Linked DNA regions of Saccharomyces cerevisiae S288C. Changing the gene in region 1 together with any one later gene gives a genetic interaction. Each region holds a gene or a part of one and is shown on either strand. Other genes may lie near its edges. The genes, in order: TRP3, PXP1 and MSH4.

Region 1 (3,711 bases):
ATCATTTGCGCAGCCTTGACCGTTTTAGGTGCTACGATATTTTTTCCTAAAGATAGATTTACCAGCAGTAAGAATTTGCTGTATTTTGCAGGTGCGTCGATTGTCTTGGCGCTTTCAACCAAATTCATGTTTAAGAACGGTATTCAGTTTGTCAACTGGCCTAAGTTAGTAGACGTTGGGTTCTTGGTCGTTCATCAAACGCATGATAAAGAACAACAATTCAAAGGTTTGAAATATGCACAGAGTCCTAAATTTTCCAAGCCGGATCCTTTAAAAAGAGATTAATGAGTTCTATATGTGATAAAATGATGATTATTGTAAATCCAAAACGTAAAACCGAAAATATGATAAAAACGAGAAAAAAAGTAAGTTAAAAAATAAAAAAATAAAAAAATGAACGCCGGCCCCAGAGGGAAGAACAAGCTATTTATTTTCTTTTTTACTTTATCTTTCATGGTCATATATATATATATATATATATATATATATCTTCTATAGGCTACTATACATGAAGGCGTTCGCCCTTACAACGTTAAGTTTTTTTCCCTATTGTACCGTGTAAGTTTCAATTATTCGCATAATTCATGAATGAACTTCTTCACATCGGTTGATTTCATTAGGGCTTCACCCACTAAAAATCCATGGACACCTTCTTTTTTGTATTTTTCAGCATCGTCCCTGGTGGTAATTCCCGATAGAGCAATTAGAAGAACATCCTTTGGAATAGATTCTACCAAGTTACTGGTGGTATTTAGGTCTACGTTGAATGAATGCAGGTCCCTATTATTGACACCTACAACTTTAGCACCAATTTCTAGAGCCCTTTGTAATTCCTCTTTGGAGTTCACCTCAACGAGAGGTTCCATGTTCAAATCTTTACTGTAGCTGTACAGTTCCTTCAATAAGGGTTGAGATAGCATCTTGACTATAAGAAGGACAGTGTCAGCTCCAGCTAATCTTGCTTCTAGTATTTGATACTTGCTGAAAATAAATTCTTTTCTCAAAACACAAGGCCTCTCCTTGGGAGGAAATTTCAAATCTAGGATTTTCCTCACATTTACTAAATCCTGTAACGAACCGTGAAACCAATGAGGTTCGGTCAATACGGAAATTGCGGATGCACCAGCCTCTGCGTATTTGAGAGCCTGTTCAGCAGCAACAGCTTTTAAACAAATGGGTCCCTTCGATGGAGAGGCACGCTTGACTTCAGCAAGAACAACGGCTCTTTTATGGGATGATGACAACACCGTGTAGAAATCCTGTAACGGTGGGGCAAGACCTAAATCATAGTTAGATTGTAAGTCTTGAAAGGTGAAACCTGGGATTTTAGACTGCTCATTGACGTCTATTTTACGCCGAGCATAGATACGGTCCAAAATAGAATTTGAAGGAGATGATTTGTTTTCCTCCCAAGTGCCTCCACTGACGTTTAAAATGTTCCTGATCATCAGATGACCTTCCTCGGTCAAGATGGATTCCGGATGAAATTGCACACCTTCTACAGTGTACTTCTTGTGTCTTACACCCATGATAATTCCATTTTCGGTACTCGCAGTAACCTTCAAGCAGGATGGTAGGGACGATTCTGTCCCGGCCAATGAATGGTATCTTGTCACAGCAATACCTTGCGGCACGTTCTTGAAAATTCCACAGTTGTCGTGAGAGATTGGGGACGTTTTACCGTGGACAATCTCACCAGCGTAGGCAACTTCACCACCAAATACGTCAAACATGCATTGCTGGCCCATACAGATTCCAAATACAGGAATTTTCCCAGTAAAGTACCGGATACAGTCTCTTGAAATGCCAGAATCTGTCTTTGGGTGGCCTGGTCCAGGCGAGATAAGCAATGTGTCGGGATTCAAGGCGGCAATTTCTGGAACTGTAATTGCATCGTTACGGTAGACGCTCACTTTGGCGCCCTCCTGGCACAAGTACTCGTAAACGTTCCAGGTAAAGGAATCGTAGTTGTCAATTAGAACCACATGCTTATTGATTGGGTTTGTTGCAGCGTGCACAGACATTTTTTTCTTACTTTTATGGCGTTCTATGTAGAACCAAACAGATTTGGTAATGTGTTAATACTGACCAGCTCCTTGTCGAACTTTTTGCGTACCTTAATATCTGCTATAGATTAGAATGAGTCAACGAGCCATTGATGATCATTCAATGATTACTACAAGAGGCATTTTCCGTCGTCAGTGATATGAATAGCACGGTGAGGTCCAGAAGAGATAGTAGGAAGTTTAATACTGGCTCAAAGGCATACTTATATCGACAAGCTAAGCGCAAATACTACTTTGTGGTACATCATCAGCATTGCTTTCGAGAAAACAGCATTTAAAATCAGCCATTTGCTGCGCTTTCTTTAAGCCCTAACAGAAAATAGTTCAAAAAGGCCTATAAGAAGCAAAAAAAGTGAAAAATACGAAAAAATACTCCAGCGGAGGAGTATAAAAGGGAGGAAAATACAAAATGTAGTTGTGTTGTTACGCATCTCAAAGAAGAAAGAAGAAGAAGAAGAAGAGGACGTCGCACTTGCAAGCAAAAACAGCGACTGGCGCGAGAACAACAAACACTAATGCATGTCTCTGTCCAGCAGGAAAAGCGAGCCTTAGTGTTTCTTATTTTCTCGTTCGCCTCACTAGTTTGTAGTAGGGTGGGAGAAACGATGGAGTGGATTGTATGATGAGGAACCAGATAGGGACAACAGATTCTCAAGTGACGAGGAACATCTTTTAAAGCCCAGTTTTTAGTAGAGCTTAGGGCGCCTTTACTGACTATCCACTCCTTGTTAAGCTATGATCTTGTATTCATGTGATTGTAAATAATATTAGAGCTCTTTCTTGAATTGCCATTACGCTTCCATGCGGCATATTCTCGTGTAGTGTGACAAAAGGTGCGGGTGGCAAATAAAGGTAAAAGAAAATGATCAAAAAGGGCCTTTAAGTAGGATGAGCAACCGCCAATCGCTGGATATAAGCAAACAAAAAGTAAGATTAGTAGCAAAGCAAAGAACATATAACTATAGCTATGAGCAGCAATAATAGTGGTCTCTCTGCCGCCGGAGAAATCGATGAAAGTCTTTATTCTCGTCAACTTTATGTGTTGGGTAAGGAAGCAATGTTGAAAATGCAAACCTCCAACGTATTAATTCTCGGCTTGAAGGGGCTAGGTGTTGAGATAGCGAAGAACGTTGTGTTGGCAGGTGTCAAATCTATGACCGTTTTTGACCCTGAGCCGGTTCAATTGGCAGACTTATCAACCCAATTCTTTTTGACCGAAAAGGATATTGGTCAAAAGAGAGGAGATGTGACCAGAGCCAAATTGGCAGAGTTGAACGCATATGTCCCGGTTAATGTGCTGGATTCCTTAGACGATGTTACCCAATTGAGTCAATTCCAGGTCGTTGTCGCTACGGACACTGTTTCTTTGGAAGATAAGGTGAAAATCAACGAATTTTGCCATTCCTCCGGTATTAGATTCATTTCCTCGGAGACAAGAGGGCTGTTTGGTAACACCTTCGTAGACCTAGGTGACGAGTTCACAGTGTTGGACCCAACGGGTGAAGAACCTCGCACTGGTATGGTTTCAGACATCGAGCCCGATGGAACAGTGACCATGCTAGATGATAACAGACACGGGTTGGAAGACGGAAATTTTGTCAGGTTCTCCGAAGTAGAAGGTCTTGATAAGTTGAATGATGGGACC
Region 2 (3,955 bases), on another chromosome or scaffold:
AACGTAAAACAATCGAAACGAAAAGAAACAGACTATAGGGGAGTATAGAGACAGCCGGCCAATAAGAAGAGGAAAAAGAAATACTAGCGTTTATCAATGTGGGTCGTTAACATATCCTGTTGACAATGATTACAGGTTAAAAGGTAGCGTAAGTGAATATTAACTATGGATATTCTTATACTTAGATAAGAGACATATAAAACACACGATGATTGATTGATTTTTATGACCAATATATGTAATTCGTAATTCAGATAGTTTTTATACTTTTAATGTGTGCCGAACCATATTACTAGTATATGTAACTACCATGTTATGTTCAATTGGCAGATCTTTAACTCGGCTTTAGTTATCCAAGTTACTTGCAATATTTCCTTCTGCGAGAGTACATTTGCCCTTAAACGTATACGAGGTATTCATTAATGTGTGTTGTAAGTATTTAGATTGACATCTATAAGAGAGATGAACATATATATATATATATATATATATATACATGCATATTTACTATAAACGCGGTTTATTCTGCCAGGCAAAGGCAATTTGCTTTTGTTCGCCAGGCTCAATGATAACGTTGATGACACTTGTTTCTCTTTTAGTCCGAGAAAGCTGCACGGCTTGTTGGAAGCATCTGCTCAGTTCGCTTATTGTGTTGACAAAAAAATCATTGGCACCCAGTCCTTTGCCTACGAGATCGTAACGGCAGTTCTTGCTTAGTGCCGTTGGAGGTAAATCACCCTCTATATCCTTTTCTCCATGGTAAATACCGCTATTGTTCATCACAACGATGACCAATGCCAGCTGACACCTTACTGCCGTTTCAATTTCCATGGCAGAGAATCCAAATGCGGAATCACCCTGAATCAGCACCACATCGAGTTCCGGATGAGATGCCTTGCATGCAAGAGCATATCCGAGCCCAATCCCCATAGTCGCGTTGGTCCCTGCGTCTAAACGGCGCCTTGGAGCGTCTGTAGGGAATGAAATACGCGCAATATCCATAGTATTTGCTCCCTCCGTCACAAGTATTGTCCTGTAATCATCGATAAGAGGCCTCAATGTTCCATAAACCTGGTTGTAATTCAATTGTGCCCCTCTAGTCTTCTCTTTCCTCAATAGACGAGTTTGATTCAGTTGAATTTTCTCTCGTATTTCTTGCTTAACACCACTATACTTCCAGCAGGAATCTTGGCGAGTCAATTCCTCAACTAAAGCGGTTACGCTCAAGCCTATATCTCCCCATATGGAAAGGTCAGCACCAGGTGAGACATTGTTATCCCCCAAGGTTTCGGGATTGGAATCGAACTGGATGAATATGGATTCTGAGTTCCATTTGGGTGAAGTACCAAAATGCAATATCCAGTTTAATCTTGCCCCGAGAACAAGAACAATATCCGCTATTTTCAATGCTTGAGATCTTGCAGATGAAACGTTCAGTGGAGAAGAGTCTGGGACAATTCCCTTAGCCATTGGGGTGGGTAAAAATGGTAGATTGAACGTATTTACTAGTCTGCGGATTTCGTGTGAGTTTTTTACCGCACCCTTTCCAATAACAATCAGAATATTTTTATTTTTATGTTGCAAAATAAGCTGTACGACTTTTTTGATCTTCGACGGATCAGGGCCACATATGTTTGGAGTTAATATCATCGGTAATTCATTTCCTGTACGGTCGTTTCCTTCTAAGGGTTTTTCATACTCAATAAAATCTGCAGGGACGTCTATGTAAGAAACCCCTGCAGTGCCTTGTATACAGTAATTCAAAGCCTTCTGAGTAATCATGTCAATATTGTCAGGGGTTAACTTTCCGGTAAACTTCAAAAATGGGGACAAAAGACTAACTTGATCCAACTCTTGAAACCCGCCTTTATGTATATCACTTTGAGAAGAACTCCCTGCAATTACTAGAAGAGGCCACCTATTACTCATTGAGTTGTATATACCAGCCAGTGCGTGGATTAAACCGGGGCCCCCGACAATAAGTAACACGCCGGGCTTATCACTAATATAACCATAAGCAGAGGCTGCATATGAGGCAGCCTGTTCGTTCCTGCATGGAATGAATTTGATACCGTTGGCAACCATCGTATCCGCTAGTTGGACAATAGGGATGCCCACAATTCCAAAGACTGTGTCGATGCCATATTTTTGTAAAAGTTGAGCGAAGTGTTGGGTAGCGGTCGTGGTCATATTGATGGATGGTTGTGACGGTTTGAATGTAGAGAGTATATTCTTCTTATCACATAAAAGTAACCAATGCCTTTTTTTTCCTTTATATATAATGTGGTTATATACCAACCTTTTGTAAATTTCCAACTTTTTTCTTTAGTTAGCTTTGCTTGAACTTCGGGCCGAAGGGCTCGGATAAGAGAAACAATAATTTTGTTTTCATAAAACATCGATGGCTTGACTACTTCTTTTATCCTGTTCCTGAGATTCTTTCATCTTGGCGATCTTACACCTTAGTTCCATAATAGGGTCTCTTACAAAATCCCTCATTGAAACGACTTGAGAACACGCTGCTTGCGGGCAATCTCTTGTCGTGTATCCTTGTAAATAGTTTTGAATGCCGTCTCTATCGAAGACGTGATTACATTTTCTTGATATCAATGGTGCTTCGTAAGGTTTGCAGGTGATAGGACAAGTCAATTCAATTTTACCACCTTCTATTTGTAGATCGTCTTCGTCTGCGGGGTTTTGCAGATCCGGTATTACACAAGTTGGATCATTCCATATGTACGGCAACACTTTTAGTATCTTGAGTGTATCTGTGTTATTAACCATGGTTGCAGGCTCTGGTGTGGGCATATTTAGATATAATTCAGATAATTTGGGAGCGGTGAGTTCTCCGGTACGATATTTATCCCAGGTAGAAAGGTCGATTTGCGGACAGGCATCTGAGGATTGTTTGAAATTTTTTTTTAAATCTTTAATATGTTCGTCAAATGAGTTGGATTCCGATTCGTATGTCGAGAGGAGTTTGTAGGTGCTAGTAATATCTGCGACCTGCTCTTCAATGCCGATGGTGGAAGGAGATGTAGAATCCACTAATTGATTTATGGTCTCATCAATTTGTTTGTAGCATTGTTGATATATATTTGATAAGTCTCGGGCATGTAAATTATGGAAGTACTTACCTGATTTTGGGTGTAGAGGAACTGACTTGGGTATAGGATTATCGTTCAAGGCCATTTTTAAAGTTATTCTTTTTTTATATAGTCTTGCCTTGGTTTCTTTAACTGACACGATTATTTTAGCAAGTTTTTTTCTACACAGGAAAAGAGGAAGAAAATAACCAGAGAAGCACTGGTAAAAAGATACTTCTGCGTGCCGGAGTAACCAGAATCAAAGGAACGCATAGATGGATAAAGAGGTAAGTGAATTGGTAGTGTTGCAGCTAATACACACTTTAATTTCCAACAAGAATGAAGAACTGGTTAGGAACGGGGGAGGAATCAACATGATTGGGAATAATCTTCGAATATCGCTAGTCAAGTTGACTAACGAAATACAAAACAATTTGCTAATCAACGAGCTGACAAATTTAAGAAGGCAAAGCAACGTGGCAAATGGAAACAGGAAACTGGGCATCAACGATATCCTGACCATAGTTAAGAATTTATTCCCAGAGTACAGAACAACACTAAACGATGGACAACTTAGTCTACACGGTTTGGAAATGCATGATATCGAGAAGCTCCTTGACGAAAAGTACGATCGATTCAAGAAAACGCAGGTCGAACAAATAAGGATGATGGAGGATGAGATATTGAAGAACGGTATAAAGACCGGTGCATCGCAACTGCAACCACATGCAAATGCTGGCAAAAGTGGATCTGCTGGTACCAGTGCTACTATAACTACGACTACGCCACACATGGCGCATTCAATGGACCCAAAAAGAGAAAAACTATTGAAATTATACAGAGATACCGTTCTGAATAAATTGGAAAGT
Region 3 (5,221 bases), on another chromosome or scaffold:
CACTTTGGCTAACTACATGGCATACGTATATTTTGGTCTAACGATATTCTGTGCTTTATGGTCCTATTCCATTTATATGAAAAGAGTTGATATTATTCAACAAAGAAGCGGTCAACATCTAGATGCACCACTTGGTCCAGTTTTGGTTTCTATAGTTTTATTTGTCACTTTAGTGGTTAATTTTGTTATGGCGTTTAGAAATGCAGCAAAGTCTCGTCAAGAGTTGCAAATACAGAATTTAGAAGTTCCTGAAAGAATACCAGAAGTATTAAGGCCACTTCAAAATTATCTATTCAAGTTAATGGGGCCAAGCAGTGATTAGAATATGTACTCTATCTACTGAGACCATGTGTTTTTATGTTTGTAATGTGTAGCAAAAAATTATCATCTGCTAACAATTGCTTACTTTTAGAAATCACATTTAAGGGGAAGTTTTAAATCATTCATAAATATCAATGCATTTACATAAACATCATTTTCTCCGGTTTTTGATAACTCTGTACAGAAATAATGGATTATAGTTTTAAGCTAAGCGGAAAAGCCAAATTATTCTTCAAAATTTTCGATGAAGTCGGAGTTTATTTCTTTTAATTTCCCTAAAGTCAAGGGCTCTTTTTCATTTCCTGCACATTCTTTCAATATCGCTACAAGATTGTGTATTCTCTTCATTTGGTTTATGGTCTTTTGATCAACAACGCCATTTGAATCTTCGTTTTCAGTCCTTGCTTTTGCAATTTTCAAAAGCGAATGGATATTGTACGCTTCTGCAATAATATCCGGGTTGAATATTTTTTTTACCACCCTTATTCCACTATTCTCTATTGCGACAGATTTCTGGGTCAACTGATAATTCATTTTGACAGAATTGTCATTGAGAAGGACTGCATCCATATGAAGATGGGAAACTGCTGGCTTCTTAGACATTATTTTAGGAATGTCCTGGAAGTGTGTAGAAAGAAATACCGTTGCCTCCGTTCGAAGTAAATGTTCAGTTACTGCCAAAGACACACAAAACCCATCAGCGATGCTTGAACCACGACCAAGTTCATCTAAAATTAACAGTGTTTCTGTATTTATGTCATCTAAAAAGTAAGCCATTTCTTTCATTTCAAAACCAAAATTTGATGAGGTTAATTCCATACTGTCATTGCAGACTCTTGCATGTAGACGTTTAAAGACAGGAAAAGACCCATAAAGTGCCGGTATACCTGATCCCATTTGGGCCATTATGCAAATAAGGGCAACTTGTTTTAAATAAACAGATTTTCCACTCATGTTGCATCCGGTTATGATTTGTAAGCTGGAGCTATGTTTTGTACTTGATATGGTGTTAGGGACAAAATTTTTTAGTACCTTTTCAAGTAGTGGGTGTCTTGAATCTCGAATTAGTAGATTGTTTGTAAAAATCGGTATTGTGTAATTATTTTCTTTCAAATTATATGTGAATGAACAAACCAAATCCAGGATAGCCACTGCTTCTGCAATCATAAATAGTTCAGAAATATGGGTTGCAATTTTATCGAGCAGTTCATCAACTGTCTCTTCACTTAAAAGTAAAATCTCTTCCATAACTTCCTTCAACCTCGCATTTTTTTTTATTATATTTAGGGTTGTACATTCAATATAATTTTTTTTTATTGTTCTTGAAATGAATACGTCTGGAAGTGTAGCGACGTCATCGGTAAATTCCTGTCTTTTTATTCTGAGATAAAAGCCTCGTGCAGAATCGTAATTATGATCTAAATTGATTTTGTTTTTAGCGGTAAGATCTTCTACCTCACGAAAAAATTCCTCTTTTACCTCTTTGTAGATTTGTCTAGAAACATCCAAAAGCCCATTGGAATCACTTTTCACAGCATATGAACGTTGGTTAAGTAGTTGTATAGCTGAGGATGCCCAGACACAGTCTTCATTTATACAACTATTAATTAATTTTTCAATTTCCATAATTGCGTCATTATTGAATATTTTTTTGGTCTCGCTAATTAAACGGCTTTGAATTAACTGATCATTAAGTGCGTCTTTCAATGACTTCACGCTTTGTAAAGTTTCCTTTAGCAACAAAACGTAATTAATTCTTTGGTCAGGTTTTATTGCAGAATGATTAATGCATAATAACCTTGAAAATAACTTATCTAGATCAGGCAATGATTTCATTTCTAGCCTTAATTTTTGTAGAAGGTCATCATTGGCTTTCAATTCTTCTAGGGCCTCTAGTCTCATTTCGATACTGCCCCTATCAGTTAATGGCTGCAGTATACTGTTCCGAAGTGATCTTTGTCCCATTTTAGTGGACGTGGTATCCAAGAACTTCCATAGTGATATGCCATTCTTATCCAATTTATTTTCTACAAGTTCTAAACCTCTGACGGTTTTAGAATCAATCAGCATTGTATTTTCTGTTCCTTCAAACTGTATACGTAGTTTTCGAAACGCATTCAAATTTCGGCTGCTTTTGGATATAATCTCTTCCATGTAGCTTATCGCAGCAGATGCAGCACAAAGAGCAAACGTTTTATCTATAATCTCCTCGATTTTCAAGTCCTTTTTTGTATCATCCATTAAATACTTTGTAATCGCCGCCAGTCCATCTTGGCTATTGAAGCACTTTCGTGAACCCTCTTCAATTTTAACTGTCTCGGCCACATTAAATTTTATCATTGTCGCTAATTTTGATACTGTTGGAGCTAGAGAACTGCTTGGAATCAGTATTTCCGTAGGTTGGTAAATTTGGAGTTTATGAACTACACGAATGTAAATTTGTGAATCCATGAAATCTGAAAGATACATCTGTCCCGTGTTACAGTTGATAATACATAACCCAATCCGCGTACTTATGTCTCTTGGCACTTCGTATATGCAACAAAGAACACAGTCAATACTAGGACCGAGGAGTGAAGCGTTGGTGCTGTATCGACTTAAGGAGGTTGCGGTCCTAGAGGCCATTGATCCAGTCATTAAGTAATGGCTATGTGTTGAATCTTTTTCATTGTTTTCCCATGTTGTCTCTGCTATTTGTAGCGTTTTCTTTTTGAGAGCCCAACTACTTATGTTAGTTGGCGATTTTTGGTTCCTGATACTCTTTTTCGTACTTGGCTTCGAAATAGAGTTTGAAGAATTAGCCGCCGACCTTAAATTGAAATAATTTGTACTGATAAAACTAGATAGATTAGATTCACTCATTGCATATAGTTTGCGTTGATCAGCTACAGATTTCAATGCTATAACTAGTTATTTTTATATGTTTCACTTTAAGTAAAATCCAACTGCTCTTTTGCTATTCTTCGTTGATGCCTTATATGTATGAAAGCTGTACGTTCGGGATTTGAAAAGGAAATGAAGACGCGAATTAAAAAAAAATAATAAACTGGTTCATAGCAGAAAAGAGGAGACTAAATAAGATTTTGCTCTCATACAGATGCAACACATAAAAACTTTAATCGATTTCAGTATGGAAAAAGATATGATACAATAAAATCTAAATCTTAGAAACTGATTTTGAATAAAAAAACGACCCCAGTGAGGGTTGAACTCACGATCTTGCGATTAACAGTCGCACGCCTTAACCAACTTGGCCATGGAGTCAGTCACTTTTGAGTTCTGCAACTCTTAAAACGGAATAGACTACGTAAAACAATGTCATCCCATACCAAAACAATCCTGATTTCTCAAAGGCATCGCAAACCTCTGGAATAAAAATCCACTATCATCTATCAACTAATAGTTATTCAATATATTATCATATACAGTGTTAGATGATGACATAAGTTATGAGAAGCTGTCATCGAAGTTAGAAGAAGCTGAAATGCAAGGATTGATAATGTAATAGGATAATGAAACATATAAAACGGAATAGTCTAACATTAGTATGTAGAAATATGGATTCCATTTTGAGAATTCCTAAATCCTCGAGGAGAACTTCTAGCATATTCTGTATATGTTGGAATAAAAATCAACTATCATCTACTAACTAGTATTTACGTTACTAGTATATTATCATATACGGTGTTAGAAGATGACGCAAATGATGAGAAATAGTCATCTAAATTAGTGGAAGCTGAAACGCAAGGATTGATAATGTAATAGGATCAATGAATATTAACATATAAAATGATGATAATAATATTTATAGAATTGTGTAGAATTGCAGATTCCCTTTTATGGATTCCTAAATCCTCGAGGAGAACTTCTAGTATATCTACATACCTAATATTATTGCCTTATCAAAAATGGAATCCCAACAATTACATCAAAATCCACATTCTCTACATGGTAGCGCCTATGCTTCGGTTACTTCTAAGGAAGTCCCATCAAATCAAGATCCGTTAGCCGTTTCAGCTTCCAATTTACCGGAATTTGATAGAGATTCCACTAAGGTTAATTCTCAACAAGAGACAACACCTGGGACATCAGCTGTTCCAGAGAACCATCATCATGTCTCTCCTCAACCTGCTTCAGTACCACCTCCACAGAATGGACAGTACCAACAGCACGGCATGATGACCCCAAACAAAGCTATGGCCTCTAACTGGGCACATTACCAACAACCGTCTATGATGACGTGTTCACATTATCAAACGTCACCTGCGTATTATCAACCGGACCCACACTATCCGTTGCCACAGTATATCCCACCACTGAGTACTTCCTCACCTGATCCAATCGATTCACAGAATCAACACTCTGAAGTACCTCAAGCTGAGACAAAGGTGAGAAATAACGTCTTACCACCACACACTTTAACATCAGAAGAAAACTTTTCTACATGGGTTAAATTTTACATCAGATTTTTGAAGAACTCTAATCTCGGTGACATCATTCCAAATGACCAGGGTGAAATCAAAAGTCAAATGACTTATGAAGAACATGCGTATATATACAATACCTTCCAAGCATTTGCCCCATTTCATTTATTGCCAACATGGGTAAAACAAATTTTAGAAATTAATTATGCTGACATCCTTACAGTCCTTTGTAAAAGTGTGTCCAAAATGCAAACTAACAATCAAGAATTAAAGGATTGGATAGCTCTTGCCAACCTTGAGTACGACGGAAGTACATCTGCTGATACATTTGAAATTACAGTCAGTACGATCATTCAGAGGCTAAAAGAAAACAATATCAATGTTAGCGACAGATTGGCCTGTCAACTAATACTTAAAGGTCTATCCGGTGACTTCAAATACCTACGTAATCAATATCGTACCAAAACGAACATGAA

What was found.
Region 2: mutations in TRP3 (region 1) and PXP1 together harm fitness more than expected from each alone (negative genetic interaction), as found in Saccharomyces cerevisiae (2 studies listed by BioGRID).
Region 3: mutations in TRP3 (region 1) and MSH4 together harm fitness more than expected from each alone (negative genetic interaction), as found in Saccharomyces cerevisiae (2 studies listed by BioGRID).

Annotation. Positions count from the first base shown.
Region 1 is NC_001143.9:36,130-39,840, forward strand, and holds TRP3 (bifunctional anthranilate synthase/indole-3-glycerol-phosphate synthase), read right to left. Parts: upstream 2,025-3,711; coding exon 570-2,024; downstream 1-569. Other genes in the region: phosphatidylinositol-3-phosphatase SAC1, read left to right, coding at 1-285; E1 ubiquitin-activating protein UBA1, read left to right, coding at 3,034-3,711.
Region 2 is NC_001137.3:118,110-122,064, forward strand, and holds PXP1 (putative indolepyruvate decarboxylase family protein), read right to left. Parts: upstream 2,191-3,955; coding exon 508-2,190; downstream 1-507. Other genes in the region: SUMO ligase MMS21, read right to left, coding at 2,389-3,192; EAF5 (Eaf5p), read left to right, coding at 3,362-3,955. UniProt on the Saccharomyces cerevisiae protein: Catalyzes a carbon-carbon cleavage reaction; cleaves a 2-hydroxy-3-methylacyl-CoA into formyl-CoA and a 2-methyl-branched fatty aldehyde.
Region 3 is NC_001138.5:133,975-139,195, forward strand, and holds MSH4 (MutS family protein MSH4), read right to left. Parts: upstream 3,184-5,221; coding exon 547-3,183; downstream 1-546. Other genes in the region: VTC2 (vacuolar transporter chaperone), read left to right, coding at 1-322; YFL002W-B (gag protein), read left to right, coding at 4,230-5,221. UniProt on the Saccharomyces cerevisiae protein: Involved in meiotic recombination. Facilitate crossovers between homologs during meiosis.